Linked DNA regions of Macaca mulatta. The protein of the gene in region 3 purifies or fractionates together with the protein of the main gene of each other region. This does not show direct contact. Links are inferred from orthologs where the notes say so. Each region holds a gene or a part of one and is shown on either strand. Other genes may lie near its edges. The genes, in order: PPP2CB, PPME1, PPP2R2A and CDCA4.

Region 1 (7,205 bases), about 4.5 Mb from region 3:
GGGGGGGACACTATTCAACTCAGTACAATCTATGTGTGGCCTGAAAATATTATCTGAATACCCCACATCCTACTCTGACTGCTCCTGAGTGGGTATGGCTGGTGCATGTGCACAGCCTTGTCCCCCAGGGCTGACTGTGATCCCAGAAGGGCTCTTCTTGGCTTTTTCCCTGGTGCTATTTGTTGAACAACCTATTGCTCTGCTCTTTTGTATGTTGCTCCTAGTATCATGGGAGCTATTACAGCCCTCTTAATTGGTCTCCATCATGACATCCACTGTTTTCCACAAAGCACTCAGATTTGGAAATCTCCATCACCTAAGTAAGGTAAGTCCACTGAGGAAGAACTGAGGAATTTCTGTGACCTGCCTTTCCTCCTGCAGAACTTCTGTGCCAGTGCGGGCTCAGTGATACCACCTGGTTTACAAGCAGGTGCTGGGGTAAGAGCATTGGGAAACCCAGCATTCTCATCTGCTATGCATGCTTGGAGCAGAGCTTCTGCCCCAGGAGCTGGGACAGGGAAGGGGGCCTCAGCCTGCTTGACTGCGTCCACCAAGAGTAGAGCTTCTGTAACTCCAGACTAGGAGAGGTGAGATATGCTGGCATCTGACCTCTGCGAGTGAAACCACAGTCCCAACCCTGGGAGCTGGTAAAAAGGGGGAATCCCTTGGCCTCCTGACTGTACCAACCCAGACTACAGCGCCTGTAGTCGTTTCTGTGAGAGGGATCTGGAAGGAGTTGGAGGGAGCAAGTCATAGCTCAAATGCCACAGACAACGGCTATTATTGAGATTTAGTAGGTTTTCTTGAATTAACTGTTTATCCATCTGCTGTATGCCCTTAGGAGAATTTCCAAAAGCTTTGAAAAATTATTTTTTAAAAGTAATGTTCTCCAGCTAATGGTGGTTTTTGCTGGTTGGGGGCTTTGCTATACTCCTCATCCCACTATTTCAGAAACACAAATCTTCTATTTTTAACATTTAAAATTTTCCTTCTGAAAGTAAGTATATACAATTAAAATTTACAGTTACTCACAAGGAATATTTTAAAGTGTCATCTAATTCCATGATAGCAGCCTGGTTCCCACAACGGTAACAGTAATTGGGTGCACTGAAAATAGTAACCACATTCCGATCATGACACCAATTGTATCCCTGCAGGATAAAAACAAATTCAATATTTCATTATAATAATATGATTTTGACACAGATACATTAAAAAAAAACTAAACTCAAAAACTACAGGCACTCTCTGTGGAAATGTAGTCGTCTATATTACTTTATAAGGTTGCCATCTTTGATAGTTTGTGTACCTGTACAGAACCCTGTGCAATTCGTGGGCCTAGGATTCTGTTAAATGCAGCTCGCTAATTGTTGTTTTGCCTTAACTATGCTTGAAATCTTGGCAAGGATGTGTACTGAATTTCTCCCACAATCCTAATAAATCTCTCAATTTTCCCTCATGAATTATGCCAATTATTCTTTATATATTTTGAAGCTATTACTACGTAAATACAAATTTAGAATACTTTCTTCCTAGAGAACTGGGACAGATTTCATCAATAACCTCTTTATTTCTAACAACACCTTTTATTTGAGCCTATCTCATTCATATTATTGGCTATAATTAGTATTAGATATAGTGTGTATATATATACATGCTAATTAGTGTTACGTGTGTGTATACATATACATGTATGTGTATATGTATACACATACACACACACACACGTGTTGCTCAGGCTGGAGTGCAGTAACATGATCTAGGCTCACTGCAACCTCCGCCTCCTGGGTTCAAGCAATTCTCCTGCCTCAGCCCCCTGAGTAGCTGGGACAACAGGTGCACGCCACCACACCAGTCTATTTTTTTGTATTTTAGTAGAGACGGGATCTCACTATGTTGCCCAGGCTGGTCTTGAACTCCTGAGCTCCAGCAATCCGCCTGCCTCAGCCTCCCAAAGTGCTGGGAATACAGGCACGAGCCACCGCGCCAGCCTATTAGCTATATTTTTGATATTTTTATTACTTGATATACCAATATACCATTTCCCAACTCTTACCTCTAGTTTGTAGTGTCTTTTTTTTTTTTTTCCCCCCTCTTTTTTTTGAGAGAAGGTCTCACTCTTTTGCCCAGGCTGGAGTGCAGTGGTATGATCACAGCTCACTGCAGCCTCAACCTCCTGGCTTCAAGTTATCCTCTCACCTCAGCCTCCCGAGTAGCTGGGACAATAGACATATGCCACCATGCCCAGCTAATTTTTTGACTTTTTTTTTTTTTTATAGAGATGAGGTCTCACTATGTTGCCCAAGGTGGTCTGAAACTCCAGGACTCAAGAGATCCTCCCACCTCAGCCTCCCAAAGTGCTGGGATTACAGGCATGAGCCACTTTGTCCAGCCAGTCATTTATGTTTTAGGTACATCCCAAATAACAGCTACATTTTGACTATTTATCCAATCTAAGAGTCTCAGGCTAAAATTTTAGTCTGTTTCTTATAATCACTGATATAATTAAATTTATTTTTTCTATATAAATTTGTGTTTTTTTATCATGCTCCCTTGTCTCTACTGGGCTGGTGAAGTTTTCTCTAACATCTTGAAGCCACTCCCTACTGGTCTGGAGGGATTATGTTGTTTATATTCCCTTAGTAGTTGTAAAACAGTTAACATTATAGTGGAGAAATCTGGCAGACATCATCTTAACTAAGTGATTAAAGTTGCCACCACCAGCATTGAGACAAGCAGATTTTAGGACCACTTGATAAAATGCACGGAGGAGGACACACCATCTTTCTACGGCATGACTGCCAAAAATGCATACAGTGAATCCCTAACTGCAAGGAAAACATCAAACCCCAACTGAGGGATATTTCTGTAAGATAAAATGCTCCTACTCTTCCAAAATGTCAAGAATGTGGAAAACAAAGAAAATCGGAGGATTTCCACATCAAAGAAGAATGAACACAACCTAATCTTTGGATTAGATTATACACATACAGTATGCACAAAATTAAATTTTGCTATAAAAGACATTAGTGAGACAATTAGTAAAATTTGAATAAAGTGTTCATATTAAATAATAGTACTATATGAACACAAATTTCGCAACTGTGGTAACTATACGGTGGTTATGTGATAGCGTGTCCTTAATTTTACAAAATACACATAGAAAGTTGGTAGTAAAGGAGTATTTGTCTGCAATAGATTTCAAATGGTTCAGAAGAAAGTGTGGGGGGTGAAGAGGAAGGGAGACACAAAATGATAAAGCAAATATAGTAAAACATTTACAGTCAGGAATTTGAATGACTCATACAGGGAATTCTGGGGTATTATTTTTGTAACTTTTTTCTAAGTCTCAATTTCAAAAATGAGTTATAATTCTGCTCCGGTCTACTAGTGCTTTCCCTACTTGCTAAAACCAGCAAGTTTTTCCTCTTTTCACCTAGGTAATAAATGGTGAGGAGTGTTTCTTAGTTAAGTCAAAATGCCTTATTACAGAAGTATATGCTAATCTGAAATAAAGATCATTCTGTAAGGAAAGTACATACCTCCATTACAAGCTGGTGGGCACGAGAAACCAGTGTGAGACCATTGGCGTGGTTAAAGGTTTCAGAAATGTCTTGTCCAAATGTGTAGCCAGCACCACGTGGTGAAATACCCCATCCACCACGATCATCTGGATCTGACCATAACAGATCACACATTGGGCCCTGACCAAGAAAAATAAGTACATGTTACAAATTATTATCAGTCATACTTTATCGTCCTCAAAATGTGGTTATATTTTCTTTTCCTTTCTTCTTCTTTTTTAAACTAAGGTTACCTCATGTGGAACTTCCTGTAAGCGATCCAGGGCTCTTATATGATCCAGTGTGTCTATGGATGGAGAGAGGCCACCATGGAGGCAGAATATCTGTTTATGAATTAACAAAAGAGAATGTATTTGTTTTACTAACTGCTAACAGTTAACAAAGAGTAAATAATGGTTAAAAGTGTCAGTCCAAATAATGCCAACATTTAAACACATTTTGTTCATCTTTTTTTCTTTTTTACCCCTTCTCTGGTCAATGGTATCCCCAACCTTGGGGACCCACCATTAAATTTCTTTTTTTTTTTTTCCCTCCCTCCCACCGTTCCTCCCTTCCTTTTCTCTGGCCAATGGTATCTCCATCCTTGGGACCTACCATTAAATTTCTTTTTTTTTTTTCTCCCTTCCTCCTTCCCTCCTTTCTTCTCTTTCTGTAGAGATGGAGTCTTGCTGTGTTGCTGAGGATGGAGTGCGGTGGCTATTCACAGGCATGATCACTATGCAATGCAGCCATGAACTCCTGGGCCCAAGCAATCCTCCCGCCTCAACCTCCTGAGAAGCTGCGATTACAGGTGCATGCCACTGTACCCAGTTGTCATTACAGCTTCTGTTGGTTATTGCTGATATACACAATTTTTTGTTCCTCTTACAACAAATTCCTGTTACTGGCTACAATAAATTTTCAGTTCTTTCATATTTTCTAAGTACATGATCAAGTCATCTGCAAAAATATTTTTGGTTTTTCTTCTCAATGTTTACACCTTTTAATTCTTTTTATTGCTTAGTGCATTGGCCAGGACTTCTAAAATAAAATGGAGTAATACAAATGTTTCTGTTTTGTTTTTTGTAAACTACCTAGTTTCAAATCCATGCTCTAGGTATTCTGAATCAGAGAGAATAATATAAGTTTTAACAAGCATTTTCTTTCTGATTTTGATTTTTTTTTTTGAGACGGAGTTTTGCTCTTGTTGCCCAGTGCAATGGCATGATCTCGGCTCACTGCAACCTCCACCTTCTGGGTTCAAGTGATTCTCCTGCCTGACCCTCCCGAGTAGCTGGGTTTACAGGCATGTGCCACCATGCCTGGCTTTGTATTTTTAGTAGAGACGGAATTTCTCCATGTTGGTCAGGCTGGTCTTGAACTCCCGACCTCAGGTGATCCATCCGCCCTGGCGTCCCAAAGTGCTGGGATTACAGGCGTGAGCTACCTCACCTGGCCTGATGAGAAGGTTTCTAATGTTTAGCTGATAGTACAACCAGTATTTCTTTATCCACTTAATATTATTATTTTATAAAATAACTGAGTTTTGAATCACAAATATAGGAATTTTTTTTCCAAATGATTTTGGTCTATTTTTCTGTGCATGCCACGTCTGGTTTGGCACTGAGGTTATACTAGGCATATGGTGTCAGTTTTGAACTCTCCATCTTTTCCCAAGTTCTAGAACACAGAAATTATACGTTCCTTAAAGGTGTGGTAGAATTAGCCTATAAAACTATTTATACCTGGTTGCTATTGGTAGTTTACTTATATTGGACGAACTTCTGCAAGCCAATTTTAATAACTGGTATTTTAATATAGTAAGCTTCATTCAACTTTTTAAATTTAGTGCACTAAAGCTGCACCTGTTCTTGTGATACACAAGCTCCTGCACAGTTATAATTACGCCTTATTTCATTCCTAGTGTTTTATGTGCCTTCCCTCTTTTCTTCTAGATCAGTATTGTCCACTATTATTTCTTTTCTAGTAACTTTTCAGAAAGAGAGGAAGGAGGAAGGAAAAAAAAAATAAAAGCTCTACTAACGCACCCATTTAAAAAACCAGATACTTCATTAAAACTGATAAGACTGTCTTTTAAAAATCATTCTGTCCAGCAATTTTATTATTGAGGACTGTGTGCTTCAAAACAATTAAAAACAACTTTAATTAAAATTTAACATCTTTTAAATTCACATTTTCTTTTAACAAGTCCAGGCAAAGTATTGTCCTTTCAAATTAATCATGGCAGTGTCCAAAATCACAGCTGAGAAAAAAAGACTGTCAGGATTACACAGAGAAAGTTATAACCAAATTATATTCCCACAAGCAGTCTAAGAGAGAATTCATCACATTCTTGACAACTCTGGGCTTTTATAATTTAAGAATTATGGAGTTTTATTATATGTTTTATATTTATATTTATTTTATTTTTTGAGATGGAGTCTCACTTTGTCACCCAAGCTGGAGTGCTGTGATACGATCTCGGTTCACTGCCACCTCTGTCTTTCTCAGGTTCAAGTGATTCTCCTGCCTCAGCCTCTCAAGTAGCTGGGACTACAGGCATGCACTACCATCCCTGGCTAATTTTTGTATTTTTAGTAGAGACGGGTTTCACCATTTGGCCAGGCTGGTCTTGAACTCCCAACCTCAGGTGATCTACCCACCTCGGCCTCCCAAAGTGCTGGGATTATAGGTATGAGCCACCTTGCCCAGCCTTTGTTTTATATTTAAATTTAAATCAGTTCATGCTTTCAGTGATTATCTCTAGAAATTGAAATAGGAAATTTGCATAATTTCTTCTTATACTTTTGAATGTTTCATGATCTGTCTGCACTGCAGAAATAGCATTTGCTTCTATTTTCTTTTTTTGTTCTTTGAGATGGAGTTTTGCTGCTGCCCAGGCTGGAGCACAGTACTGTGATCACGGCTCACTGCAGCCTTAACTTCCTGGGCTCAAGAGATCCTCTCACCTCTAGCTTCTTGAGTAGCTAGAACCACAAGCATGCGCCACTATGCCTAGCTAATTTTAAATTTTTTTTTGTAGAGACAGGGTCTCACTACATTGCCCAGGCTGGTCTTGAACCCCTGAACTCAAGCGATCCTCTTGCCTTGGCATCCCAAAGTACTAGCCACTGTGCCCAGCCAAGCATTCACTTCTCAGGGAAGAAGGTGTAATACACAATATAACATTTGCAATTACCATGAAAATAGAAATGCGAAGTTATTCATGGTAACCAGCAAAAACTGTGTGTATACGCAGAGATAGTTTTAAATAACATCTTGCTTTACTAGTACTACACATCAGTGTCTTAAGCATTTATTTATAATGTTTATCGATATCTTAAAAAGCACAGCATATTCTTTGGTCAAAAGATTTACATACATATCTGAGAACAGGAAAATTTGCTGGTCCAAATGTACGTGAAACTTATCCACTTCCCTGCTTTGAAATTTTAAGTATAAGGGAAGGGGCCGGGCGCGGTGGCTCACGCCTGTAATCCCAGCACTTTGGGAGGCCAAGGCGGGCGGATCACAAGGTCAGGAGATCGAGACCACGGTGAAACCCCGTCTCTACTAAAAAAAAAAAAAACAAAAAATTAGCCGGGCGCGGTTGTGGGCGCCTGTAGTCCCAGCTACTCGGGA
Region 2 (7,205 bases), on a different chromosome or scaffold from region 3:
ATGTGTATTTTAAGGAGAATTGGACTTAGATAGTCGTCCATAGCATCCTTTTATTTTACTCATTATTTGTGTGTTAGCAACCGAAAGTTTCTTGGAATTGTTCAAGAATTATTCTGGAAATTACATGTTGATATTTAATATAAACATGTTTTAAACTTTAGTCTTTTCTTTAAAAAAAAAAAAAGTTTGCCCCCAAAATTATATCCAGTGTTGTTTTAGATTAATTGAGGATATAATTTTTTTCTGGTCTGTTATTTTAATATGCAGAATTAGCTTTGGAATACTACCTGTTTTATTTTTTAGAAACTGTATGTATAATAATTTCCTCTGTGTTACTTACTCTAAAGACCACTTTTTTTTTTGCTTTTTTTGTTTTTTTTGAGACTGAGTCTCGCTGTGTCGCCCAGGCTGGAGTGCAGTGGCGCGATCTCGGCTCACTGCAAGCTCCGCCTCCCGGGTTCATGCCATTCTCCTGCCTCAGCCTCCGAGTAGTGGGGACTACAGGCGCCCGCCACCACGCCCGGCTAGTTTTTTGTATTTTTAGTAGAGACGGGGTTTCACCATGTTAGCCAGGATGGTCTCGATCTCCTGACCTTGTGATCCACCCGCCTCGGCCTCCCAAAGTGCTGAGATTACAGGCTTGAGCCACTGCACTGGGCCAAGACCACTTGTATCAAGTCTTTGTTCCTGATATTTTCCAGTGGCCTCTGGGCAAAGGCATTATAGTTTTGACTTCATGAAATTACTCTGAATTCACAATACCCTATGCCAAGGGGAGATGGCTTTACCATTTATACCTGAGGTTGCAATTTTTTGAATTTTTGCAATCAGAACTTGGTGATGACCTTGGGCAGTAGAATATAAATAACTCTCACATGCTTAGTGTTCCAATAGTGCATAAATTGGTTAACCCATTGAAACATTGAAAATATGTAATATGTAGTAAGAAAATGCAGCTCTTTTTACTTGGTAGAAATGCAATAATATATTTACTTGGTAGAAATGCAATAATATATTTATAGACCCAGTGAGATTAATTGATTAATACAGACCCTTCTAGACAGGGCTGCTGAGGGATTACATTAGGTGATGTTATAAGAAAGTTTTATAGCACAACTGAAAAAGAAGCACTGAATAAGTATTAGTTCTCTTTTCTTTCCTTCATATCATTTTGTCTCCCGGAGAGAATTTTGTGTTCGTATAGAAGCAGCACTAGTGTCAAAGAAGCTTGGACTTTTCATCTTAACTATTTGTTATCGCTTTGGATGACTGCCTGAACTGCTTCACTTTCTGTCTTAATCTTAAATTTAAGTCCGAAGGAATATTAAACCATTTGTTTTCACTTACAAAGTTTGGTGGCCTCCCTATCTCCCATTCAGATGGTCTACAATTGCCGAGGCTACCCTATTCACTCCTGCAATTGTTGTATGAGATTTTAAAAATCAATTCCTACAGAACTAATAACATTTGCCTTTGCCATTATGAATACTGTAGAGATTATATATGAAAGTCTGTGTTCCTTCATTGACACTTGCTATATTTGGTTAACACTGTGTGAGTGCGCTTAAGGTATGTAATGACGCTCAGCAAGACAAAACTTTCTTTTGAAGTTGAACCAGCCACTCCCAAAAGAAGGGAGTAGAACTAGCCTAAAATATATATATCTATAATAAGGCAGTAGAGCCAGTGGGTCTCCAGAAACACACCTTACTGTTCTTGTCCACCTATTGCTATAGCAAGGAAGGCCTACATGCAATTAAAAACCAAACTTCATACTTCAGTTCTAATTTTCAAAGCTTTAAAATTGGTCTTTGTCAAACAGATCCATTCATAATTGAAGACTAGAACCAAAGCCAATAAAATGAGCTCTGAACACCTTTCTAGTTTCTCAGAGCACTGTACTTACATTTATGTTGATCCTTCAAACAAATGAGAAATTGTAAATAATAATTAACATTTGTGAAGCATTTTACTCTTTCGAGGTGTTTTTTTGTTCACCTCTCAGTTAATCCTCAAAGCAATCCAGAGCAGTCAGTGATATTTTTCTCTTTTTTTATAAATGTTGAAACTCAGTTTCTGAGAGATTAAGTAACTAATCCAAGATCACATAGTGAAAAATAAACTGAGGCTGGGGCTCATCTTGTGATCTCGAGGTTTACTACATTATAATGCTTAATAAATTTTTTTTCTTGTTTTATAGATGGGAAAATTGAAACAGAGCAGTTAAATGATTTTTCCAGAGTTTGAATCTTAGGTTCAAAATAAAGGTATATGTTTACGTAATTGTACTACATATGTGGAACAGTGAAAGTGTGATGTAAAGGAAAATTCAGTAATTTGGGTTCTTAGTCCTTTACCTGCCATTTATCAGGAGAGCTAGGTGTGTGGCTACACATATTGATACTGGGGGCATGTTAGAAGGTTTACATAGGTATGTTTGTAAGATGGCCCAATAGACTTTTACAGTTTCCCAGAACTGTTACACACCAAAGGAAGGAACTGGGAAAGAAAACCGTTTTTATAGTGTTGTCCGAAAGCATTCTTATGTATTTTTCTTCTCTTTACAGAGATGTTGGCAATGTGGTTGAAGCCATGTATGGGGACCTTCCTCCTCCAATTATGCTGATTGGACATAGCATGGGTGGTGCTATTGCAGTCCACACAGCATCATCCAACCTGGTACCAAGCCTCTTGGGTCTGTGCATGATTGATGTTGTAGAAGGTGAGTTTTCTTAGCACGGACCAAATCAGGATTTCACTTAATAAGAGACATCCATGGTAGATTATTACCTTGTCTTAGTTTATTGTTGATTTCATTCACCTTGAAATATGTCCCTCTGTCTTTACATCCTTTTTAAGTTTATACAAGATAACCGTTTTTCCATGTCATCAGAAACTCTTCATTAACATATTTTTATGACTGCATACTATTTCAATCCTATGTATGTTCCATAATTGTATTTAATCATATAAAAAGAAGCTGCCATGTCTTTTCTGACCGAGCTTCAGAAGTCACACTGCTGCTTGTGAATATAAGTCATCCTCTTCAGTGTGAGGGCATGACATAAAGGAGTGAATACCCCAGAGGCAAAAATTATTGAGGGCCATGTTTATTTCTCTGCAAGCATCACTAAATTCTGCTGTCATCAAGAGCAGATATATAGTAATTGACTCAGTGAGTGTAAATGCTCAGAAAATATGTGGTTACAGTTTTTGTTTAACATCCAGGTACAGCTATGGATGCACTTAATAGCATGCAGAATTTCTTACGGGGTCGTCCTAAAACCTTCAAGTCTCTGGAGAATGCTATTGAATGGAGGTAACCAACAAATCTTTGTCACCTTTATTTAATTAATTTGTTTGTTTGCTTGCTTATTTACTTATTTATTTATTTATTTAGGAGACAAGGCCTCACTCTATCACCCAGGCTGGAGTGCAGTAGCATGATCCTAGCTCACTGCAACCTTGAACTCCTGGGTTCAAGCAATCCTCCCACCTCAGCCTCCCAATTTGCTAAGACTACAGGTGCACACCACCAAGCCTGGCTAATTTTTAAATTTTTTGTAGAAACGAGGTCTTGCTATGTTGCCCAGGCTGGCTTCAAGTAATCCTCTTGCTTTAGCCTGGCCTCAAGTAATCAAGTAATCAAATTCCTGGCCTCAAGTAATCCTCCTGCTTTAGCTTCCCAAAGTGTTGGGGTTACAGGCATGAGCCACAGTGCCCAGCCACTGTTGCCTTTATTCTAAATGTTAGATTGTAGCTTTTCTTCTTTTTTAGGTCAAGCGCCAAGTTCGAGGAATAGAATTTCAGTTGCCATGCTTTATTGTAATAACATATGAGGAAACATTATATAAACAGCAGAATTTTTTTGAATATTTAAAAATATTTTAGATTTGGCTCAGTTGTCTGAAGCCCATTCTTTTCCCAATACACTGTAGTGCCTCCTGGAATCTTAGTAATTATTGATCATCTGCTGGGTCTAGCTGTTTCTGCCTCTGAGGTGAGAGGTTAGACTAGGTGGTTTCTAAGGCCTCATCCACCTCTGACGCTCCATGGTTTTAGATTTACTTGCTGTGTTTCAGATAAAATGGTGGAGAAATGGAAGATGGCTATAGGTTCCATTCCCTCACGTTTATTTGGATTTTGGGTAAATAAACTCAATGGGTAGTTTTTATAAAAATCAGTGTCAGAATTCCATTTAAGCAAAGGAATGAATTTATTCATTAATTCAGTTAATCATTTGATAAAGTATTTATTAAACACTTATTTTGTGCTAACAGGTGAAGATTCAGAGAGGAATAAAACACTATCCCTTCCCACAAGGAGATCAGTCTTTGGATAAATGTCTTCATCATCCTATCTTCCTTCCTATTCTTCTAACTCTATCTCCAGTCCCTTCTTCAGAACATTTTCTCTTAAGTTCTCCAAACCACCCAGATGACTCTTTCAGCAAAATTACTAGAGACCTTTAAGTCTCTATTATATTGCACTGTATACCCTTAAGTTTTCCAATCCTCCCTTGAGGGATATGGCTCATATTAATTTTTATTAATGTCTGTCTTAATGCCCTTCCTGCATCATAAGGGAAGAAGCTATTCTGTATTTCTTTTTTACTTTCATATAGCATATGGCAGACTGCCCTAGCAGGCAGAATATATCTGTTAACTGAATCAGATATCAAGTGGAAATTTAGGACTTGGTAAATATATCCTAGGAGTTTTCCTAGGACAAAGGGTCTTATGCAAGAATATGGCTTGTCAGAATGATGTTTGTGTTTGGTGAAGTTGTTTTTACCACTTCCTGTTCACTACTGTGATGCAGGATTCCTGTTCTTGCGGAAATATCAAAGATCTCTCTATCTTGGGCAGACAGCATCAAGAATGTAGCTGCTGCCAGCTTGGCTTGTACCTCAGGTGCCCTGCCTGCTTCCACAATAACAACCAGTGAGAAAGTTATTCTAGAGTTGGCTCAGTTGTCTAAAGCCCATCTCTCTTTTATCCATACTTTTTTTTTTTTTTTTGAGACCGGGTGTCACTCTGTTGTCCAGGCTGGCGTCCTGTGGCGTGATTACAGCTCTCACTGCAGCCTTGACATTCTGGGCTCAAGCGATCCTCCTGCCTCAGCCACCCAAGTAGCTGGGACTACAGATGTGCACCACGACGCCCAGCTAATTTTTGTTTTTTGGGTTTTTTTTTTTTTTGTAGCAACAGGGTTTTATCATGTTGGCCAGGCTGGTCTTGAACTCCTGGACTCAAGCAGTCTGCCCGCCTGCCTCGGCCTCTCAAAGTCATGGGATTATAGGTATGAGCCACTGCATCTGGCCGTTTCCAAACTTTAAAATTTATTCGGTAAATTTTTTTTTCTAGTGCCTAAGATGTGTCAGTACCTGATCTAAGAACTGGGGGATGAATCAGGCTCAGTTCCTATCATCAAAAAACTGGGGATGCAAACAAGGAGATGGATAAACACAACACAACGAAGGAAGCCAGGGGATATAGAAGAAGGGTACCTCATGCAGCCTGGGTATCATGGTAGGCCTTCTCTTAAGGTAGAGTCTTGTTTCTTTTGCCAGATACAGGATAGCATAAGGGTTCTGTTTGTTAAATGTTAAGATACTGGGTTTCATGAGAGTCATTGATTTTTCTGAACCTGAAAATTGTTATACTATGAGGTATTTGGTAATTTTGTTTTTTATTCTGCTGGATATCTGAATCAGGTTTATGACCGATGGCCATTTTGGCTATTCCAGATTTTTTTTATGTTGCGATATAAAGCCAGTTAATTACTGCTTTTGCTCTCATAGGTTTCCTAATGAGAGGCAGCAGGGGTATAGTCATTAAGAACCTGGGCTTTAGGCCAGATGTGGTGGCTCACACCTGTACTCCCAGTGCTTTTGGAGGTTGAGATAGGAATATCACTTGAGGCCAGGAGTTTGAGACCAGCCTGGGCCATATAGTGAGACCCTGTCTCTACAAAAAAAAAAAAAAAAAAAAAATTTTTTTTTTAATTAGCCGGGTGTGGTGGCATGTGCCTGTAGTCCCAGCTACTCAGGAGGCTGAGGTGGGAGTATTATTTGAGCCCAGAAGTTCAAGGTTACAGTGAGCTATGATGATGGTACTGCACTTTAGCTTTAACAACAAAGTGAGACCTTGTCTTGAAACAAAACAAAAAAGTTAGGGGAAACCTGGGCTTTGAGGTCAGACAGATACAAATTTGCATCTTGGTTACACCACTCTGGCTGTTCTGAGGAAAATCGAATAGAAGAAGAAGTGGGGAATAAGGTATGAAGTTGGTTAGGAGACTGTTGTAGTATAGGAGAGTAAGAATGGTAAACATAGACTAGGATGGCAACAGAGGAAGAAAGAGTCATTTTTTAATGTATTTTCAAGGTAAAGCTGACAGGACTGGTTTATGGATTGGCTGTTGGGAGAGAGACGGGGGAGGGCAGGAAGGGACTTAAGGATGACTTCTAGGTTTTTAGCCCAAGCAATTGGATGAATGGTAGAAACAGAAAGAAGTAGATATGGGAGCAAATAAGGGGCAGATAATCAGTTTTGTTTGGATAAACTCAAATGCTTATTACATATGTAAGTGGAAATGTTAAGTAGGCAATTGTATATACTAGTTAGAAGATTAGAAGAGGCTGAACTAGAGATAAATTGGAGAATCGTCATCACATAGTTAATATTTAAAGGTGAAAGATTGAATGTGAAGACCTAGGAACTTGATATTGATAGGAAAAAGATCCCAGACTGAGTCTTGGGATATTCCACAATATTTAGAGCTTGGGAGGAAGAGGAAGATCCAACAAAGAAACTGAAGAGGCACAGTTGATGAGGTAAAAGGAAAACCAGGTGAGTATAGCAAGTGTTTGTAGAAGGAGGGAGAGAACAACTGTGTCAGATGCTGCAGAGAGATTAAGTAAGATGAGGACCAAGAAATGACTGTTGGAATTGGCATGATAGAAGTGACCTTGACAAAATAAATATCTGAAAATAAATGGGAGATAAAAATCAGATATAAGTTGGGGAAAGGATGAGAGGTGACAAAGTAGAGAAAGCAAGATAACTCTTTTGAGGAGCTTTGCTATGTAGGAGAGCAGAGAAATGGATTAATAGGTAGTAGTGAATGTGGCATTGGGAATGTTTTTAAAGGCTGGATAGTAGAGTATGGTTGTGATATCCACAAGAGAAAAAAAGTGACAC
Region 3 (7,205 bases):
GCTCACTGTAACCTCCGCCTCCCGGGTTCAAGCCAATTCTCCTGCCTCACCTTCCGGAGTAGCTGGGATTAGACACGTGCTACCATCTGGCTGATTTTTTATATTTTTAGTAGAGACAGGGTTTCACCATGTTGGCCAGGCTGGTCTCGAACTCCTGACCTTAGGTGATTCACCCACCTTGGCCTCCCAAAGTGTTGGGATTACAGGCGTGAGCCACCGCGCCAGACTGGACGCATTTTTTTTTTTTTTTTCTTAAATCCCAAGAGACAGAGGGCTGCACAGAAGCTTACCATCCAGCAGTTAATGGTTGCATAAACATGTATTTAGATAGGTTTATAAAATAATTCTTCTTCTTGCCCAGCCACTAAGTAAAGATCGAAAGAGGTTAATAGAATGAAAGTCCTTTTCCTACCACAATCTCTTCTAAAAGGTTAAGAGATGGAGTATGTGCATGTATTAGTGGCAAGAGAATAGGAAATACAAGCAACTTGACAAGACTAAGTTTATTCTAAGTATAATTTTTATTAATAAAAAGATTAACCATGGCCATGTAAAATGAGTGGCTGGGCTTAGAGTTTGCTACACCAATGAGATTAAAAAATTAATACTTGAGAATGTTAACAATAATTTATAATAGCATTCCTTGATAGAGGCATTTTAATTTTAGCAATTATTTCTCTTAAATATATAAACTAATCCTTAGTGTCATGGAGGAGAATCATCATAGCTACTGATCAATCAAAAAAGAATTTGAGAGCTGTTTAGTGGTGTTATCTCAAGACATACAACCAAACTGTAGGAAAATCTCCCAAAAAAGATCTGGAAAACTGTCCAGTCACAACACAGGAAGTCTATCACTGTCGGACACTTGTGACAGGGGAATATCCCACTTCCAAGTCAAGTGTGAAGAATAAATAACACAAATTAAGAATGTACCCAAGATCCCCAAATAAATTAGTAAAAGTGCCATTAAGAATTATCAGACATAGAATGTGTTCAAATACAAATTTGTTAAATCCAAGAGATACAGTAATTTTATTACATAAAATTTCTCCTGTGTGCTAAAAATGCTAACTTACAAGACATAATATTTGTAATAGAGGGAATCACGGTCGGCTCGTTGAATTCTTTTTCATTACTGAAGAATAGAACAATAGGTAGTGGACATAGAAGCACTCAGAGTCCTCTGAAATTCAAGGTTGTTACATTACGTTCAACCAAAATAAAACTACCATTCTCTAATAATATAAATGCCTGTTCATTTCACCTTTCAAAAATAAAGTCCATTTCTTCTCCATTAAAGCTTCTGCAAGACTGACAAAGGTACATTCTACCTATTAAAAATAGGAGCACTCTTCATCTTTGGATAATGTATCACTGCTTAGGGAAAATGTACTCATATACAGATTTTTGAGGCAGCTGTTGGAGTTCATTAAGCACTTTTTGAATGCTGTACCTTTAAAAATTTGTCTTTAATATAGCTTTGGAAAACCAAAAATAGAAGAAAAATATCTATGGTAAAGTATATTTCATTCTGATTTGATAGCAGTAAAATACAAAAAAAGTATTTAGTGCATTGTCGTCACTTGATGTTAGTTTTCTGCTATTTTATATGACTGAATGACAAAAAAAGTTCTAACTTGTTAAAAATGTTGTATAAGTCTTTGACTAGTAAGGCAAAAATGAAATTAAGCACTGTAAAAAGTAGAAATTAAGTTCTACAAATTTGGTTCCCATTTACAACAATTTCATTAACAGATAATGAGTTAAATAGAGATACAACGTATCCAATACCCTCATGATGACGGTAAATAGAAAAAAAACAACTAGTAGCATTTATAGATTGTGAAATCCTTAATAAAACCAATATATATTCAAAACATGTTCATAGAGAACCAATACCTCTCCTCCTGCATGTAAAAGAACACTTGTTAAAAATAATTAACAAAAATACCAATAAAACAATGAAAACCCATTTTGTTTCACTGTGCCCAAAGGTATGACACAAAATATTGGCTACAAGAGGTAGGTTAAAAAGAAAAAGAAAACCAGATTCTCCATTCTTTGTCACTTTTATTCAGTAGTAGGTTTTTTTTTTCCTTATTTTCAGTGCCAGACACGGCGAGGAGTGATTACAGCCAACTGTTATTAAAACATTTGTTCGCAACATATACCCCCTTTATACCACTGACCCCAAACTGACTCATTTTGTGTGCTTTCATTCTTTCTTTTTTTAATATACCACCACCAAGACCGGGTGGAGGGGGCAAGGGTAAGAGAGATGAAGGGGAGGAGTCCAGGAGGCCAGAAGAGGAGGAATGCTACAAGCCACAGTAAGAATGAGCTGTATTTAATTTAAAAAAAGGGGGAAGGGGTGTACCCCACAAATGATACAGTAATGAGGATACACAATTAAATCCCATAGCATGACTGAAGGCTTTCACTGTGTTTGACGTCATCACAATGGAAGGCATAAAAAGTGGAGTAAATCAATGTTGATACAGTCCAATCTAGTCCATTAGGCAAGATGGTGCAAGAAGTCATTTAAATTAAAAGTGCCCTACCCTTACCTAAATGGCTAGCAGACATGGAGAACACCACAGTGATGAATCCACAGAGCTTTCTCCATGTAGCTATAACAATGTGTTGTCGAATGGCACACTGTCAAACACTGGAAAGGGGCGCCACAATGGACCTCTCTCTTTTATAGGAACGAATGCTAGATTCAACTATCTCAACTAAGCAGGAAGTGGGTTCTTCTGCTAGGAATGCCAACCCTAATTCACTTTGTCTTGAAATATATACAGATTGTTTGTAGTAGCTACGGCAATGATATTTTCCTTGGGGTGCCAGGCTGTGTGAAGGATTTTCTTATTGAAGTCTAGGCTGTCAACACTTATTTCATCTTTCTTTCGCTTGCCACTTGCACAGACTTTGCGAGGCTTCAGAACCGTGCGAGGCTTATTGTTTTCCCGCGATGCTTCTAGGGTTATGTCTCGCTTTGTGTTTCTGTCAAACATTCTGAAGAAATTATTGTAAGATCCAGTCATGACAACGCTGTGAAAATAGACAGTACACTCAGTCAAACAAGCAGAACAAGAAATTGTTTTTAAGTAAAATGATTCAGTGATTAAACCATAGGAAACAGCTACTTCAAGCAGATTTAAAGTAAGGGACAGGGCTGTTGACATCAACTCAATCACCGGAATAAACCAAAATATGGTACTAATTAACTGAGTTTTCTGCTTATTATTCCTTTTCATGGCTACCAAAACTATCACCGAAGTTGACAGCATCCTCAAGTAAAACTTCTTAGTAGTGCAGAATTATCTTTGTTGAATAGTTTTGCAACTACAGGTTATGTGATCAACCAGGTCAGGCAGCTTCTCAAAGGAGCAACTATCCGTGGAACTCACAGGTTCTAAAATGAAAGAACCCCGCATGAAGTAGCTGTAGCTGTTCACAAGAAACCAATGCTTTATCTTATGATTTACATTTTTTGGGTCAGGCACGGTGGCTCATGCCTGTAATCCCAGCACTTTGGGAGGCCGAGGCCGGCGGATCACGAGGTCAGGAGATTGAGACCATCCTGGCTAACACAGTGAAACCCTGCCTCTACTAAAAATACAAAAAAAGTAGCTGGGCGTGGTGGCGGGTGCCTGTAGTCCCAACTACTCGGGAGGCTGAGGCAGGAGAATGGCATGAACCCGGGAGGCAGAGCTTGCAGTGAGCCGAGATCTCACCACTGCACTCCAGCCTGGGCGACAGAGTAAGACTCCATCTCAAAACAAAACGACGACGACAAAAAAATACAAAAATTAGCCAGGCGTGGTGGCACGTGCCTGTAGTCCCAGCTACTCAGGAGGCTGAGGCCGGGGAATCGTTTGAACCTGGGAGGCGGAGATGCAGTGAGCCAAGATCGCACCACTGCACTCCAGCCTGGGTGAGAGTGAGACACTGTCTCATAAATAAATAAGTAAATAAATAAATAAACAATTATCTTCTCAGGGTGTTGTCTGGTTCAGATAATCACATTTAATAAAGGCTTATAATCTGCTCCTGAGAAGTGGTACATAATATGTGTGTGTGTGTGTGTGTGTGTATATATATATATATATTTTTTGAGACAGGGTTTCACTCTGTCACCCAGTTTGGAATGTGGTGGCACAATCACAGCTCACCGCAACCACAACCTAGACCTCCTGGGCTAAGCAGTCCTTGCACTTTAGTCTCCTGAGTAGCTGTGACTACAGGCATACGCTGCCATGTCCAGATAATTTTTAAATAATTTGTAGAGATAGGGTCTTGCTACATTGCCCAGGCTGTAATATTTTATTAACAGAACATCATTTTACTTTCACCACTAAAAACATTTTAAGCAAATATTTGTAGAAGTATCAGTTTAAAGGGGTGGCAAAATTTTTAAGCTGCCCAAGACACTTCCCTGTCAGTTCTATTTGCCAGCCATTACTGCTCGACATTTATTAAGTATCCTCACAAACAAAACTTCCTAAGTTTGAAGCTCTTAATAATTTGGAAAGGGTCTGCTACCACTGCTTATCACATGGTTCAAATTATTATTGTAAATAAGGATTACAGGATACTGGGGAATTGTTCAAAGTAATACTTACATACAAAGGCCACCTACTGAGTACAAATGATTATCTATTTAGTAACGTCAATTCCCAAAGAACACTTGACGACAACTTTAATCAAACTCAAGGTAATGCATGCCCCTGAACATGATAAAACTGTATTTCTTTAAAAATGGCTCATGTAATTTAGATTGACATCCCCATATCATCTGTGTGTTTTAATGGGTTAGGACATTTAGTCTGTGGCTATTTGAAACTTTAAAAAGGTATCATTAGGTCAGCATTTCTGTGGTATTCCTGCCAAAAATGTATAGCCTGAATCTAATAACGAGGAAACATTCTGTAAAATAATTGGCCTGTGTTCTTCAAAATGCCAAGATCACAAAAGACAAGGAGAGACTGAGGAACTGTTTCAGAATAAAGGAGCCTAACAAGAGATGACAACTAAATGTTGGATACTGAACCAGACTGACTTTGTTCTGTGCCATAAAAGACACAGTTACAGTAACTGGTGAGTTTTAGTGGGTCTGCGGATTAGAGGGCAGTACTGCATCGCTGTGAATGTTGCTTTGGATGCTGCACTATGTTGGGAAGTGTTTTTGTCAGGAAATACTCATTCAAGAATTTAGGGTTATGGGCATCACATCTAGAGTAAACGGGGTATTTTCCCATGTAGCACACAAGTTGTGTGTGTGAGCACGTGCGCATGTACCTATGTGGACAAATATAGCTATAAACAAACAGAGGATAGACCACGTGATACAGCAAACAGCAACAGTGGAACTTGGGTCAAGGCTGGCCAAGAGTTCTTTGTGTTATTCTAACAAATTTTCTCCAAGTTTGAAATAATTTAAAAAAATTTTTTAATATTAAGGAAAACAAATAGTTTCTTTCTGATAATAGAACATACAACTGCTAATAATCTGCTTAAACAATACAAGGAAGAACTAGTTGTAGCTGTGTGCCACACCCTAGTTCAGTATCTCTTTACTCTTCAAATTTGTTAATGTTTTTTTTTTCTTCTTCCTTTTCCTTCTTTCTTCTTCCCTTTCCTTCTTTCTTGATGCCTCAGGTTTAGTAGTGGCACTCAAAGGCAATGTTTGCTACCAATAGAGCTCTACTAGTTTACTAGTAGTAATAGTTTACTAGTCCTCTCATCATGTCAAAAATCAGGTAATTTTAAAAGCCAGACGAAAGAAAGACATTCTGTAAGTTCTATTATCCTTTGTAACACGTAACACCATGAAATCGGAATCATATTAAGCTCTGTGATAAAACTGTTGCTAAAGCATCTCTAATTACTTTAAATGTCAGTTTAATTCCAAAAATTATGTTTTACTACTTTATGTTCTACTGGAACATAGTGGCAAATAGACAACTAAAAGACTCAAAGACTTACTTTATCTTTAAATAACGGTAACATTTTACTAAAAATGTATACTAAAAAGGAATTACACTACAGCAAAACTGGAAATTACAAAAAGCAAAGGAAAACTACTCCTAATATTTTAACCATATATATTATGGTTAACATCATACATAACATACATATGAAAGACCACTTCTATGAGGTGTTAATGTAGCATCTGGAAAACCTGGTGTCTCTAACAATTCAAATGAATTATCTGCCGCCCGAATGTTTCTAAAACAGTTTAATGGCAGAATAACAACCAAGCTGAAGCTTCACGGTTTTAATGGTTAGCATGTCAGAAATGTGATCTGGTTCATGTAAGAAAAAAAATTCTAGACGTTTAAATAATTTAGATTACCTAGAATTTGTGTACTTTTATATTTAATAGTGAAATACAATGCTTAATTTTTATCTGCCAGTACTGCCGTGCTATATCTAAGATTAGTAAATGTATTTCAAGGAATCCCTAGAGACAAATGAAGTTAGGACCTGGAATGAAATAATTAAGTTTCTTTTCTTTATAAAATTCATATTTGAGAGGTTTGACTTAAAATCAATTACCTGTCAGATCCATTCCAACAACATTCAAATTTGTCAAATATGCAGTCATTTTCATACAGTGAACAGAGTTTACTTCTGAGGTATTCATGCACCTGGGGAAAAAATACAAATATACTACACTGAAATTAGGAAAATGATTTAACAAGTCCGTCTTTTTAAAAAGAAAAAATGGGCATATACAGACACACAAACAAACCTTTTAAACCTATTTATCTCAATCTTCTCAGTAACAATAAAGGCATTTTGTCCTTTTACAAAACACACAAGCCCTTCAGGGAGGCACATTTTCCTACTGGTATGACAAAGGAAAACTCCATTCTGGGCACGGCACACATAACCTTTATAAGCCTGAGTAAAACATTCAGGCCAAAAACACTTGAAAATGGCACAGTTAAGAGACTAATAAAAGAACATTACAGCAATATCTCAATATCACTATTCTTGGCTTTCAGTCCATTAACTACTGATAACAACACTGAAACTGTGCCTATTTCTTTCTTAAATACCATTTTCTGGGCATAAATTTGACTGAAGCCTCTATTTCCAATTATAAATGCACATGTATGCATAGTGTAACCATGCCTTGGTTTGATGATAAATTATATGGTTATCCTGGGCATATATTATTAAAAATTTGA
Region 4 (7,726 bases), on a different chromosome or scaffold from region 3:
ATTATAGGTGTGAGCCACTGTGCCAGGCCAGGAACCCCACTTCTAACCAGCCACCCCAGTCCCCCAAGTCAGCAGCCTCCATCAGCCATCCCTGAGCTTCCCTGGTTTCCACTGTAAAGCTCTCCTGTTCCCTCGCCTGCCTATGAGTTTCTGCCAATCACAAGGGAGAAGGGCCGCACCCTTGCTAGGGTAAGCTCTGGATAAACAGCCTCTGCCTGTTCTCACCTGGTTGCTTATTTCCACAGCTCACTGTAGACAATCTGGAAGAGTATCAAAAACCACAAAACAAATTTCCTCTCAGGATCCTATCCACTCAGAAAAAAAGTCACCACCTGGGTTCTTCCTTTCCTGGGTTCCTCCTTTCCAGCTGTTTCTCCCAGCACTTTCCTCTCTGCATAAGGGAGGGAAGTTTCATACTACTGACAATTTTCCCAATCACAAATGATACCAGTTTCTAACTTTAGGTGCTTTGGTATTTCTAGCATTTGGCTTCCTCAGCCTCGACTCTACTTACTAGGGTGAGGTGCAGGTACATTTTTAAGACGCTTGACAAACATCAAACTGCATCCTAAGAAGGTGGAACAATCCATCAACCTTCCCCTGCACTAATTTCTGCACACTTGCTGGTAAAGCTTCCTCTTGCTTTTCCAAGTCTCTGAGCCCCACAGCTAAGCATTCCTTCCCTCCTCCACTAAGCTCCACCTCTGTGTTCCTATCCTGTTCCACAGCTGCTCTCTGCCAGGGCCAGACACCCTGGCCTCCCTGTGTAGGTCCTTTTCTGGCCATGCCACCCTTCAGCTCTGGGTCAGAACAACAATGTGGCATAAATGGGATCCCACAGCAAGCATCCTTCTGCGGTTGGCTTTTCTCCCTCAGCATAATTCTCCTGAGATCCTTGCAAACTGTCTTGTGTGTCAACAGTTCACAACAGAGTATGATTTGGAGGCACAGACGGAGCCCAGCGTCACCGCGCCCCAGTTGAAGGGGACTTTTTCCTTGTTTCCAGTTTGGAGTTATTACACATAAAGCTACTAAGGACACTCTAGAACATGTTTTTGCATGAACATTGGTTTTTCATTTCTCTTGGAAAAATGCCCAAGAAATAACCGTTTTATAAAATTTAGGAGTGTTAAATGCACAGTCAGTGAGATCTATCACACTGAAAGGAAATTCAGAAAACAGGGAACATTTTTTTCTGTCTATTCAAGGGCAGGACCAGCAGGTGTGAGCCTCCAGAGAGGCTCCTGGGGAGGGGTGGCGGTCCTTGGCCTAGTTTCATCTCTCTCAGTTGTAAGCATTCTTTTTTTTTTTTTTTTTTAAAAGACGGAGTCTCACTCTGTCGCCTGGGCTGGAGTGCAGTGGTGCCATCTCAGCTCACTGCAACCTCCACCTCCCGGGTTCAAGCAATTCTCCTGCCTCAACTTCCCAAGTAGCTAGGATTATAAGGTGTGCACCACCACGCCCAGCTAATTTTGCATTTTAATAGAGACGGGGTTTCGCCATGTTGGCCAGGCTGGTCTCGAACTCCTGACCTCAAGTGATTCGCCCACCTCAGCCTCCCAAAGTGCTGGGATTACAGGCATGAGCCATCACACCCAGCCACAAGCATTCTTTTAAGACTTAAACAGGCCGGGCACAGTGGCTCACGCCTGTAATCTCAGCACTTTGGGAGGCTAAGGTGGGCAGATCACAAGATCAGTAGATTGAGACCATCCTGGTCAACACGATGAAACCCTGTCTCTACTAAAAATACAAAAAATTAGCTGGGTGGGGTGGCACATGCCTGTAGTCCCAGCTACTCAGGAGGCTGAGGCAGGAGAATCGCTTGAACCCGGAAGGCGGAGGTTGCAGTGAGCAGAGATCGCGCCACTGCACTCCAGCCTGGGCGACAGAGTGAGACTCCATCTCAAAAAAAAAAAAAACACTTAAAATAAGTTGAATGCACACGATCTGGCGTATTCTGACAAAGGAATGCAACTCAGCAACAAACCTCAATGATTTATGCAACATGGATAAATTTCAAAACATTATGCTGAATAAAAGCAGCAAGACACACACAAAAATACGTACTGTAGGATTCTATTGATCCGAACCTTCAGGACAGGCAAAGTTAATGGAAGTTGTGAAAACACAGAAGGGTAGCCACCATCCGGGTGGGAAATGCTACAAGGGGCCAGAGGGAATCCTCCAGAATGATGGAGATTCTCTCGCCCCTTGTAGCACTTGCGTAACCCAGGGACCTGCGTAGATGTGCCTGGGTTATATAAGTCCTACAAGGGACGAGAGAGAATCTCCATCATCCTCCACTGCATCTCATCCCATCCACAGATCCCATTCTGGTACCATGAGAATATTCCTGTTCAGTCACTTCAAATCATTGCTGTCCAATGTTCCAAATCTCCAGCAGCTAATTCTGTGTTGTACCCAATATTTTAAAATGCTAACAAGTTTATTACTATTAATACAAAAAGGAGTAAAGCTCACAGGTGTTTTTTACAGTCGCGTGACCCCTAAGAGCTGTCACCCACAACGTGCGTTCAGGGGTGAAGAGGATAAGGTTGGGCCCGGAGAAGCTGGCCTGTGAGGATCACCCTGAATTGGGCCATATCTGTGTTTGGGACAAAGTCACCAAGAGCATCATCTTGACCAGCCCTGAGGGATGCCTGGGCTGGGCCCAGCTCCCTGAGGGCCTCCAGTGTGACTCTGGCCTGAGGCTGCTTAACTCCTTCTAATATGGAAGGAAGGGCCCTATACCATACGGGCGGGGCTGTGGAGCCTAGCTCCCTGCTCAATTTTTTTTTTTTTTAAGAAGGAGTCTCATTCTGTCCCCCAGGCTGGAGTGCAGTGATGCAATCTCAGTTCACTGCAACCTCCACCTCCCAGGTTCAAGCGATTCTCCTGCCTCAGCCTCCTGAGTAGCTGGGACTACAGGCACGTGGCACCACACCTGGCTAATTTTTGTATTTTTTGCAGAGACGGGGTTTCACCATGTTGTCCAGGCTGATCTCCAACTCCTGACCTCAGGCAATCCGACCACCTCAGCCTCCCAAAGTGTTGGATTACAAGTGTGAGCCACCATGCCTGACCCCCTGCTCAGTTTTGAAGCTCCTTCTACACATCTAGTTAAATGCCTAAAATCCCACCAACTCCACAGGGTGTCAACGGGACAGCCAAGGCGTTCACCCCTCAGTCAACTCCCAGCACCGCCCTTAGGCTTCTAAACCAAGCATCAACCAGAAAGAGAAAAACCAAGAGGGTCAGACAGACTGAAGATATGTCTGACATGGCAGGTGGGACAGCCTACAGGCCACTAGGGACAGAGTAAACTAAGCCCACGGAGGCAGAGGCCAGCAGAGAGCAGCCCCGCAGTGCTACTCAGGCAAGCAGAGTACAGCTGAGGGACCGGCCCTTCACTACAGCAGCAGCCGCCACACCTTCGTGGCTGAGCAATCCCATGAGGCTGGCTGAAAATGCAGATTCCCAGATTCTGACCAATAGGGCTGGGACTGCTGGGGACAGACTCAACTCTGACCTAACCTGTCACCTTCACAGCTGGACTTGCAGCCACTTCGAAGTTTCGGGTTAAGCAAATTATCAACAATTTCCATTTCTCACACATCAGATAAGCTTTGAAATACTCTATCGGAAAAACAGGAAGAAGAGGAGCAAGGTCTTCAGTCTTGAGATCTACTGAGTGGGAGCTCCACCTTCCACTACAGTCTGCTGGAGGCTGTTCCTGAACAATTACTGATACGTTAATTTCAGGGGTTATTTTTGTTTTGTTTTGTTTTTGAGACGGAGTCTTGCTCTGTCGTCCAGGCTGGAGAACCTCCGCCTTCCGGGTTCAAGTGATTCTTCTGCCTCAGCCTCCCGTGTAGCTAGGATTACGATTACAGGCATGCGCCATCACGCCCAGCTAATTTTTGTATTTTTAGTAGAGACGGGGTTTCACCATGTTGGCCAGCTGGTCTCGAACTGGGGACCTCAGGTGATCCACCCGCCTAGGCCTCCTCCCAAAGTGCTGGTAAGTGTGAGCTACCGCGCCCAGCTAATTTCAGGTACTTTTGTTACTTGGAACGATACACCTTCCTTTCCCTGAAAACATGTTCCAATGGCAAGTTGAGGGAAACTTCCTGGCCCCTTTTCTAAGATAAAGCCTACCACTCTTCCTAGAAAAAGGGTGTAACTCACTTTGTGTTGATTTCCACCCTAATTATAAAACATGGTGACACTTGAAAATAGAGTGGTTGTACGTAGAAAGTTTATAAAACCTAAGTTTTGGGAACAGGCGATGTTTTTCTGTGGCTCACTTTGAGAGAACGGTTATCTGGGTCCTGCCGTCTCGTGAGTCCCACACGAAGGCCACAGGAGAGGCGAGGCAGCGGAGACCCTCTATTCCAGCAAGCTGTAGGAGCCTTTGTCACGACGATCCTGTTTACTGGACGAGAAGCGTTTGAAAACGCGCAGGGAAGCTTGCCTCTGACTTCTGCAAATGTCTCGGGGACTCTTCCTAATCCCACCTCGGAACGCCGGAGGAGCCCAGGAAAGACGGCGCTGGCCGACCCGCCCGGGGTCTGGGCCTCCTCCCACATCCTCGGCCCTCTCCGCGGCCGGGATCCAATTGAGGGGGCTGCAGCGCGCCCTGGCCCGGTTAGTGAGGTCGGCCGGGGACAGGGCGGGGGCGGCCGTGGCGGGGCGCGCCCGGCGTTCCCTCCGCGGCAACTAGAGCCGAGGTACAGGAAACGCCGCTGCGTACCCCAGCCGGGCCCTCGCGAAGTCGCTCCCGTGTGGGGCCGCCCGGAGGCCTCGACGAAGCCCCAGCTCCGCAATCCGCATGGAACGCAGACGGCGGCCCGGGCCCCTCTGGTTCCCCGGGCCCCCTCAGCAGCGGCCACCCCGCGGTGGAACCAGCGCCCAGGAGGGCGGCGAGGGCGCCCGCGGCAGCCCCAGCGGGAACCCTGAGCGCCGCCTCCGCCCCGGACCCAAGCCAGCGCCAGGAGCCACAGACTCCGCGTACCGCCCCCGGGCTCCTCCGCGCCCGGCAGCACAAACGCGCGCGCCGCCGTAGACGCCCTCGCGGTCAGCCAGACCCGCTCACCTGACCCGCGAGGCCGCCCGCCGGCTCCTCTGCTCAGCCGCCGCCACCGCCGCCGCCGCCGCCGCCACCAGCTTCCCGCCGCTGAGGGAGGAGCGCCCGCCGGCGCGGGGCGGGGCGTGCGACCGCCACTCAGCGTCCACAAAGGGTCGACGCTGCGCCCTCCGCGCGCCGTGCCCACTGATTGGCCACCCACGGACCGGGGGCGGGGCCTCTTGTTCAAACCCGCGCGGGCGGGGCATCTGCGGCGCGTGTTCCCGCGCTGCGGCGACGGCCGTTGGGGCTCGCGCGCGCCCTCGGTCGCCCCGCCCCCGCCTCCGCCTCCGCGCCGGGCCCCGCGACGCCCACGCCGCGCCGGCTCCCAGGTCTCCCCGCGCCCAATCCGGCCCCGCCCAGCCCCGCCGGCTCGCAGGTCTCCGCACGTCGGGTCCTAAACTGAATGCGCCTGCGCTGGGGGCCCACGTGGTGCCCTCGGGAGGGCGTGGCGGGGCAGCCTGGTAGGGGCTGATCCTCTCTCCCTTCTGCCTAGGTTAACTTCTCTGCCGAGGGATCCGTGCCGGGGTGGGGAGGAGCCGGGAACGGCAGTTCCCGGGCGGCCTGGGCTCCGAAGTCTATCCCAGCCTCTCCAGAAACCGCGGTTATCTCTAGAGGCTTCCCAGGTTTACACGTAAGAAATGTAACGTGAAAGTAGAAAGCAGGGAAACACGTGTTTTAAATCTCTTAGTGGAAAAGGTTTTAAATAGGATACAAGAGTCTAATATTCTTTGAACGCCTGCAGCAGGCCCGGCAGGCGTGGCTGCAGCTGAGAACCCTGTGCTGGTGGTGGGGGAATCCTCAGCTGAATCCGCAGATGCGGATGCGCCAAGGTCAGTGGTTAATGCTGAAATGCTGTCGGAAAAAGCTGGGAGTGACGTTGGGGCGCTGCTCACATAGGTCTCTAGGATAAGAGGCGTCTTAAAGCACCAAAAGGAAGAGTGGAAGAGTATTCCAGGAGAGGAATGGCTAGGACAAAGCCCGAGGCAGGGGCAGGAAGAAGTCTCAGTGCAGTGAAAAAGAACCCTGTGATCTCGTGGGAAAGTTTAAATGTGAGAGGTGGAGTGATTTTGAGGCTGTTCTCTGAGTGGGATGGAGACTACTGGGACGGTCAGCAGAGAAGGAACTGGGATCTGAATTATGCTTGAAAAGAATCACTGTTCTTATTTAAAAAAAAAACGGGTTTATTTCGCCCATGCTGGAGGACAGTGGCGTGATAATGGCTCACTGTATCCTCGAACTCTTGTGCTCAAGTGATCCTCACGCCTCAGCTTCCCACGTAGCTGGGACTACAGAAGTGTGTGCCACCACACCAAGCTAACCTTTTTTTTTTTTTTTTTTTTTTTTGGTAATTTTGTAGAGACAGAGTATTGCCTTGTTACACAGGCTGGGCTCCAACTCCTGGCTCCAACTACCTTGGCCTCCCCAAGTTCTGGGATTACAGGCATGAGTCACTACAACCACCAAGAATCACTGTTGGTAGAAGATTTGGAGGAGGCGGCAGGAAGGCTGGAAGTAGAAAATCCTATTAGGTTATTTTCCAGGTAAAAGAAAATGGGACTTGACAAAGGTGACTACCTGAGACTTTAAAGTTTATGCATATCAAAGTGAAAAGACTAATGGGGAAAAAAGGTTTTCCTGGCTGTATCCCACATAAAGGTTAAATTCCTTAATATACAGATATTCTGCAAATGAAATCTAGATCACCAAAGAAAAGTGGTTTGGACATGGTGGCACCCACCTGTAATCCCAGCTACTCAGGAGGCTGGGGTGAGAGAATCCCTTGAACCCGGGAGTTGGAGGCTGCAGTGACCTATGATTGCACCACTGCACTCCAGCCTGGGCAGACAAGAGCAGTGGAAATTAAAGCTGTGCTGGAGTGCCGTTTGCCACAGGTCAAATTGGCAAAGATCTAAAAATAATGTCTGGAGTAAGATAATATCTTCCAGAGCATATTAGTCTATTCTCAGGCTGCTAATAAAGACATACCCGAGGCTGGGTAATTTATAAAGAAAAAGAGGTTTAATGGACTCACAATCATGGCTGAAGACCTAGGAAAAGCAAAGGGACGTCTCACATGGCGGCAGGCAAGAAAGTCTGTGCAGGGATCTCCCCTTTATGAAACCATCAGATCTCAGGAAACGTATTCACTATCCAGAGAACAGAACAGGAAAGATCTGCCCCATGATTCAGTTACCTCCCGCCAGGTCCCTCCCATGACATGGGAGTTATAGGAGCTACAATTCAAGATGAGATTTGGTGTGATATTTCGACATATATATACAAAGTATAATGATCCATCAAGGTAGATAGCGTATCCATCACCTCAAACATCATTTCTTTGTGTTGGGAACATTCAAAATCCTCTCCTCTACCTATTAGAAAATATGCAGTAAGTTACCGTTAACTGTAGTCATAAAATATTAACAGGCTTGCTAGGACATAGGACCAGAAAAAGAAAACATAGAAGCCGTCTATGGTTACACCAGGATTGGAGTCATATTTTTCAGTAACACTAATGTATTCAGGAAAATTGATGACAAGGAGAACTAGAATCCATTAAAAAAAAGACTCAAAGGCCGGGTGCGGTGGCTCACG

Evidence for each region.
Region 1: the proteins of PPP2R2A (region 3) and PPP2CB purify together in Homo sapiens (affinity purification with mass spectrometry; 8 studies listed by BioGRID and IntAct, counting the BioPlex papers as one, with this or other methods). This does not show direct contact. The link is inferred for Macaca mulatta from reciprocal best matches to the Homo sapiens genes PPP2R2A and PPP2CB.
Region 2: the proteins of PPP2R2A (region 3) and PPME1 purify together in Homo sapiens (affinity purification with mass spectrometry; 3 studies listed by BioGRID and IntAct, with this or other methods). This does not show direct contact. The link is inferred for Macaca mulatta from reciprocal best matches to the Homo sapiens genes PPP2R2A and PPME1.
Region 4: the proteins of PPP2R2A (region 3) and CDCA4 purify together in Homo sapiens (affinity purification with mass spectrometry; 4 studies listed by BioGRID and IntAct, with this or other methods). This does not show direct contact. The link is inferred for Macaca mulatta from reciprocal best matches to the Homo sapiens genes PPP2R2A and CDCA4.

Annotation. Positions count from the first base shown.
Region 1 is NC_133413.1:32,578,875-32,586,079, forward strand, and holds part of PPP2CB (serine/threonine-protein phosphatase 2A catalytic subunit beta isoform), read right to left. Parts: intron 3,908-7,205; coding exon 3,818-3,907; intron 3,705-3,817; coding exon 3,543-3,704; intron 1,152-3,542; coding exon 1,033-1,151; intron 1-1,032.
Region 2 is NC_133419.1:74,645,211-74,652,415, forward strand, and holds part of PPME1 (protein phosphatase methylesterase 1), read left to right. Parts: intron 1-2,567; coding exon 2,568-2,722; intron 2,723-3,228; coding exon 3,229-3,319; intron 3,320-7,205. UniProt on the Homo sapiens protein: Demethylates proteins that have been reversibly carboxymethylated. Demethylates PPP2CB (in vitro) and PPP2CA. Binding to PPP2CA displaces the manganese ion and inactivates the enzyme.
Region 3 is NC_133413.1:28,108,559-28,115,763, reverse strand, and holds the end of PPP2R2A (serine/threonine-protein phosphatase 2A 55 kDa regulatory subunit B alpha isoform), read right to left. Parts: intron 6,660-7,205; coding exon 6,568-6,659; intron 3,058-6,567; coding exon 2,778-3,057; 3' UTR 2,057-2,777; downstream 1-2,056. UniProt on the Homo sapiens protein: Substrate-recognition subunit of protein phosphatase 2A (PP2A) that plays a key role in cell cycle by controlling mitosis entry and exit. Involved in chromosome clustering during late mitosis by mediating dephosphorylation of MKI67.
Region 4 is NC_133412.1:178,450,082-178,457,807, forward strand, and holds the start of CDCA4 (cell division cycle-associated protein 4), read right to left. Parts: upstream 5,178-7,726; 5' UTR 4,593-5,177; coding exon 4,311-4,592; intron 1-4,310. UniProt on the Homo sapiens protein: May participate in the regulation of cell proliferation through the E2F/RB pathway. May be involved in molecular regulation of hematopoietic stem cells and progenitor cell lineage commitment and differentiation.